Coturnix japonica: one gene and its partner. The protein of the gene in region 1 binds, or shares a complex with, the protein of each later gene. Links are inferred from orthologs where the notes say so. Each region holds a gene or a part of one and is shown on either strand. Other genes may lie near its edges.

What was found. The genes of interacting proteins can lie anywhere in the genome.
Region 2: SNRPG (region 1) and STRAP share a complex: the UniProt entries of both Homo sapiens proteins name them as parts of the SMN-Sm complex. The link is inferred for Coturnix japonica from reciprocal best matches to the Homo sapiens genes SNRPG and STRAP.

Annotation. Positions count from the first base shown.
Region 1 is NC_029537.1:791,516-794,658, forward strand, and holds SNRPG (small nuclear ribonucleoprotein G), read left to right. Parts: upstream 1-1,307; 5' UTR 1,308-1,394; coding exon 1,395-1,426; intron 1,427-1,623; coding exon 1,624-1,646; intron 1,647-1,775; coding exon 1,776-1,900; intron 1,901-2,385; coding exon 2,386-2,436; 3' UTR 2,437-2,558; downstream 2,559-3,143. Other genes in the region: protein FAM136A, read left to right, coding at 216-404. UniProt on the Homo sapiens protein: Plays a role in pre-mRNA splicing as a core component of the spliceosomal U1, U2, U4 and U5 small nuclear ribonucleoproteins (snRNPs), the building blocks of the spliceosome.
Region 2 is NC_029516.1:57,770,065-57,773,611, reverse strand, and holds part of STRAP (serine-threonine kinase receptor-associated protein), read right to left. Parts: intron 3,369-3,547; coding exon 3,272-3,368; intron 889-3,271; coding exon 751-888; intron 182-750; coding exon 45-181; intron 1-44. UniProt on the Homo sapiens protein: The SMN complex catalyzes the assembly of small nuclear ribonucleoproteins (snRNPs), the building blocks of the spliceosome, and thereby plays an important role in the splicing of cellular pre-mRNAs.

The DNA of each region.
Region 1 (3,143 bases):
TCCAGGCAGGGAGCTGATGTAGGGACATAGAGATGGTGGAGGCCTGGAGGAGCATCCCCTGATGGGAGAAGGCTGAGAGCCCCGAGGGCTGTTCACCTGCAGAGGCTGAGAGGGGATCCAGTCAATGCTTATCACCATGGGGGAGCCCCAGAGGTCCCTTCCAACCCCTGTGGTTCTATCACTCTCCTGATCTATGCCCCTTTATCCCCTTGCAGGACCGCCTGAGCCGCTGCACGCTGCACTGCTCTGACAGAGCCAAGGATGCCCTGGAGGCGGGCGGTGGGGAGACAAGGGCACGCTCCCAGCTCGACGCCTGCGTTGCTGCCTGTGGGGACGAGCACCTACGCCTGGTGCCAGGCATGGCCAAGAGGATGCGGGATGGCTTGGCGGCCCTACAGCACTAGCGGGTGCTGTTGGGGTGGGGGAAGGTGGTATTAAAGGCAAGGAGCTGCACTCGTGGTGCTCGAGGGGTGCTGGGGGTTTGGGGTGTGGGGGTGCAAGGTGTGGGGTGGTGGCTGTGTAATGTATGGGGTGGGTGTGTGCAAAGTATGGGGTGATGGCTGTGCAGTGTATAGGGGGTGGGATGAGCCATGCAAATGTGCAGTGTATAGATAGGGTACAGGTGTGCAAAGTGTGGGGTGATGGCTGCGTAAGGTGTGTGCAGGTGTGCAAGGTGTGGGGTAGTGCTTCTGCAGGGTGTGGGGCACTGTGTGCAAAGGGTGCTGGTGTGTAAAGGGTGCAGTGTGCAAAGGGTGCAGTGTGCAAAGGGTGCAGTGTGCAAATGTTGCAGGGTGTGCAAAGGGTGCAGGTGTGCAAAGGGTGCAGGTGTGCAAAGGTGCAGTGTGCAAAGGGTGCAGGTGTGCAAAGGGTGCAGGTGTGCAAATGGTGCAGGGTGTGCAAAGGGTGCAGGGTGTGCAAAGGGTGCAGGGTGTGCAAAGGTGCAGTGTGCAAAGGTGCAGTGTGCAAAGGGTGCAGTGTGCAAATGGTGCAGGGTGTGCAAATGGTGCAGGGTGTGCAAAGGGTGCAGGGTGTGCAAAGGGTGCAGTGTGCAAAGGGTGCACACTGCCAGCTGTGAGCCGATGGCTGTGCAAGGTGTGCACGGTGAGCCGTGCAGGGCTTGCAATACGTGTATCAGTGCCTTTGTGTGTGTGCAATGCCGTGCATACAGTGGGTGTGCAATGCGCGGTGCATGCAATGCAGCAGAGCTGCAGGTCTCCATGCACGTGCTGCATGGGGGCCGCTCCAAACGCGCACGCGCGCCGCGTCCGAGCGCTCTGATTGGCTGCCGGCGAGATGCGAAGGTTGGCGGGAAAAGGGGGCGGGGCTTTGGGCGTAGCGTGCGACGTGATGACGTCATTACGCGGCGCGAGCGGCAGCGGCGCTGAGGAGACGCCATGAGCAAAGCGCACCCACCCGAGCTGAAGAAGTGAGAGCTGGGCCAACATGGGGATGAGGGGGGATGAGGGGGGATAAGGGAGGACTGAAGGGGATGAGGGGGGCCCAGAGGGTCGGGAGGGGCCGTGGGGTCCGGTTCGGGTTCGGTCTGGGTCCGGTTGGGCCCGCAATGATGGCGGTCCCGACCCCACACTGATGCGGCCTGCTCTGTTTGCGCTCTCGTTGCAGGTTCATGGACAAGAAGCTGTCGTGTGAGTCCCGCTGTTATAACGGGGTTGTGCCATGAGCCCACATTCACAAAGCCCCCCCCCCCCCCCCATCCCTCCCTTCCCTTTTAACCCCCCCCTCCCCTTGTTTCTGAATGAGCCGGTTTCTCGTAGTGAAGTTAAATGGCGGCCGCCACGTGCAGGGGATCCTACGGGGCTTCGACCCCTTCATGAACCTGGTGATCGATGAGTGCGTGGAGATGGCGCCTGGAGGGCAGCAGAACAACATCGGGATGGTGGTGAGTGCTGGGGGGGATGGCAGCCCCCAGGCCCACTTTGTGCCTTGGGCTGGGGGCTTTGGGCTTTGGGCTTTGGGCTGGGGGCTTCCTTTCAGTTCAGGCCTCCCAGTGCCCATCCGTGGCCTTGGGCACCTCTAGGAATGGGGAACAGCCTCAGGAGGGCAGAGCAGGATGGGACAGAGCCCTCCGTGTCTGCTGCAGTAACAGAGGGGTGGCAGCCCAGCTGGCTGTGAGGTCACAAGAATACATTGCTGTCTTATATCAAGCTCTCATCCACCTTTTCTATCAACCACCCTCCTGCAGGAGCCTTTTCCAGCCGGCTGACTGCTGCCATGAGCCCCTGCAGTTCTCTCATTCACTTCAGCTCTTGGAGCTGCACATGCCATGCAGCTTTCTAGGAGGAAAAGTCAAAGGGAAAGAAAACCTTCTGTGCTGTGGGCATAACGTGCTTCATCTCACCTCCTGCTGACAACTTCTCTTTGTAGGTAATACGAGGAAACAGCATCATTATGCTGGAAGCTTTGGAACGAGTATAGTGGCAGAGGAACCCTGTAGTGACCCGACCCCGTTGTGTTTTGTTTACTCACCTGAACCTAATGAAGCAACCACAAGTGTAAGCTTATTTTTTGTTAAATAAATTTTGTACTGGTTGGTGTAACCCGTGTGAGCTGTGCTTGGTGGAACTGAAGCCTGGGGCAGTTAATCTTGTGAGTGCAGCAGTGTGTCAGTGGCAGCTTTAAAGCTGGAGGATGGCTTTCAGGCAGCTTTATTTCTTTGAGTGGGTGTTCAAATGATACTGGCTATATCTTTAAACCCCCCCCCATAAATAACAGGCTGTGGCACTTCTATTCCTAGCATTGCTCTGTAAAGAGTGAAGGGGACTGAAATATCTGTCCTGCTCAAGTGTTTGCCTGCAACTTTGTGCTGGTCTCCACCTCTGTGCTGAGGCAAAAGTGGTTTTGGTTATTCTCATTGCCCCCAAGCAGACAGAACAAAGCATTGACCCCAGGGTACCAGCAAGCTTCTAAGAGTTGAATCGTGTTCCAGCACGTACGGACTCCTGTGATGCTGCTAATCTCAGTGCAAGTCCTGCAATTTAGCTTTAATCAAGTGCATTCATCTTTTCTAGCACAGCAAGAGTGAGGCTACACTAGTGGAGGCTTGTTAGTGGGAGTTTGAGCTAAGCAAGCACAACTTGCTGGTACAGGAGAACTCTGCTGATGGAGAACCGAGCAGCAGCTCT
Region 2 (3,547 bases), on another chromosome or scaffold:
AATACTTGTCAAAACTTGTTTTTTATTATTGAAGTCAAACATACCTAATTCTTCTCCTGTGTTATAGTCATATTTATAGAGTTTAAAATCTTCACCACCTGCAACCAAACATTCTTTCTCTGGGTGAAGGGATGCAGAATTGATTGTAGCAGGTGCTTCAAATGATTTAATCTGCTCTAGACTGAGGGAGGAGAAAGAACAGGTATTTTAAAGCAGGTCCTGAAAGCAAAGGAACTGTGATTCTACAATTCATAGTTGCTTTTAAGAAAGACAGAAGACACCCACATGCAGTTTCTGAAACAAATTTTTAACACTGGCAAGTCAAGCTCATAAAGTTTTGAAACAACAAGTTCAGAACAAGCAAAGCACACAGATAAGTTCACATATTTCATACTACTTTCTGGCACATATTTATGACTGCAACTTGCTTTAAAACATCATAGAAACTGTATGAATTAGTTCTCTTAAAGCACTAAATTGAACTCTGGATGAGAATCTTATTTAATGACAACTCCAGTTAGCTTTGAACCATGAAAATGGTACTGATCCATTACAATCTACCATCTTGCAGACAATCGGGGACCACTAGGTTAGAAAAGGATAGTTGTTTCAGACCTTGTCTCTGACAACATGGTAGGCAAAGATATCTACTGACATGGGTTCTAACAGCTTCATGATCGTGGCCTTGTATTGTCAGTTTTACTCACAATCAAACCCGTAACTCAAAAAGATTCTGTGTTTTAGACTCACGTTTCTGCACTATGAAAAGCAATAGTTTTCCCATAGGTTATCACAAGTATTTGCCCTTCTGGAACATACTCCATGCTGCTCACAGACATTGCAACATTTAGCGCCTTCACTTCGGTCATGGTACTCCTGTCCCAGAGGCTTAAGAAAAATCAGAAAGAAGAAAGATTCTCAGATCAATTCAACACACCAGTTTCCACCTCCACCCATGGCATGCTGTGGTTGCAAAAAACCCCCAATAAAGAATATTCTACAGACACTTTAGATTTTCAGCAGCATTCTTTGCTTTGCTTAGCTTTACTTACATGAGAATTAAGACAAGTTTGCATTAAAATACTGCTACTTTTAAAACGTATCAACTACATTAAACAGTACACATACTGCTTAACTACTCAAGGATTCTCTTAAAAGACAAAAAGCTTTATTACATGTCTCCTGAGCATTACAGCTTTCTAGAAGCAAAGCTTAAGATTGCATTCTGCCTTTTTAACACAAAACATATATATATAATACTAATTTAAGAAACTAATAGACTCGTTTAATATAATTTAGCATTTTGCCTAGGCAGGCAAGGAATATCTAAGCTAAAATCAAATTAAATTATAACAAACTGTCCCACGCAACATCCTGGTCACCATAATGGAGAAAATGGATTTGAGGGATAGACCACTCAGTGGATTAGGAATTGGCTGGACAGTTGCACTCAAGAGTTGCAGTTAACAGCTCAGCATCCAACCAGTGACGAGTAGCATTCCTCAGGGACTGGTACTATTTAATATCTTTATAGATTATATGGACAGTAGGATTGAGTGCAGCAAATGTGCAGATGACACCAAGCTGAGGTACAGCTGACACACTAGAGAGAAGGGATGCATCTCAAGCCAGACAGGCTTGAGAGGTGAGCTCACACTAACCTCACAAAGTTCAAAAAGGACAAGTGCAAAGTCCTGCACTGGGGTTGAAGCAATCTTAAGCACAGACACAGGTTGAGCAGATTTTAGCCTGAGAACAGACCTGAGGAGATGGATTTGGGAGTGTAATTTGATGAAACTCAACACAAGAGAAGTGTGACCAGCAGGTCGAGGGAGGTGATCCTGCCCCTCTAAACTACCTGCATGAGACCTCACCTGGAGGTACTGTGGCCAGTTTTGAGACACCCAGCATAAGAATATCAAGCTGTTGGAGTGGGACCAGAGGAAGGCCACCAAGATGATGAGAGGGCTAGAGCACTTCCCCTACGGGAACATGCTGAGAGAGCTGGGGCTATTCAGCCTGGAGAATAGAATGCTCTACAGGAACTTTACAGCAACATTCCAGTACCTGAAAGGGCCAACAGGAAAGCTGGAGGGGGACATTTTAGAAGGGCACATAGGAACATGGCAAGTGTAAATGGTTTTAAACTGGAAGAGAGTAGATTTAGACTAAACATTAGGAAGAAATTCTTTGGTTTGAGGGTAGACACTGGAACTGGTTGCCTAGTGAGGTTGTGGATGCTTCCACTCTGGAGGCATTCAAAGCCAGGCTGAAAGGGGCTGGGAGCAACCTGGTGTAGAGGGAGGTGTCCCTGACTATAGCAGGAGGGTTGGAACTAGATGTTCTTAACGGTCCCCTCCAGCCCAAACCATTCTATAAATTATGAGTTTCTTATTTCATTAAATAACTCAATGCTGTTATTTCAATTTCTAAAATTCAGAGAAAAAATAAAAGACCAGTCTCTTGACTATCTTGAATGAAGGAACTGAAAAAGAATTGGAGCCAAAACAGAAACAAGGAGACTGCAACTGTGATTTCACTCTATATCTACTGCCCTTCCACAAAGCAGAAAGCCACTATTACTCTATGCCATAAATATAAGAATAACGAGACAAGTAGACATGAGATGATGCTGATCACATCAACCAGAAAGTTGTGGAAGCAGCAAGGCACATCTTCCTTCTTTTTTGGCCAGCATAGATTGAGGAAGGATCTTTATCATTTCATCTCCCTAGCAGCCAAGTCTGTCTAGGCTTTAGCCCATCTACATTTAAGGGGATGATCTATCTTACAAAACCAGAAAAGCTTTCTCAACTTACCACATGGAAGAGAAAGACAGTTATGATTATTAAGAAGGCACTGTCTCCAGAGAGGCTTCCCTGCCTTTTATCCCAACCCTCGCCCAATGCATGTTTCAAGGCTTGACTGCAGAAGACAAGGCAGAGACACTTCAGCATGTCTTCACAAGACCTCACCTAGAATTTAATTTCCTCTAGGATTAGAAAAATCAAATTAATTCTACTATTCGGTTATCAGAGACCACCTCTTCCTATCAGGGAGGACACGTTTATGGTGCAAATCAGAATTAACAGAAAAATTATATCTTCAACAACATGAAAAACTGGATTACATGTGCATATTCTAATCTAGAATCAAACAGCCTTTATTACTATTTCCCAAGGAAATAACAATCCTCTGACAGAAACTGTACACAATAAGTAAAAGTGAGCTTCAGAGAAAACTACTAGAAGTTTGGTTTTTTTTTCCTTACCGGACAGTTTTATCATCAGCTGAAAGAATCTGTTTGTCATCACTGCTCCATAAAGCCTTTTTAATACCAGAAGTATGCCCACTGACAACATCAGGTTCTTGAAATAAGAACAAGTATTTCAGTACACATAAGAATATAAATTAACACTGTGCAGTAGTTTAGGAACTCTGGTCATCTACATGGATTTCTATTTACTAGAAGCTGCAAAATTACTTCAAACACTACTGACTTTTATTTACAGATTTCAATCTAGGAATCTATCCAATTGTCTAAACT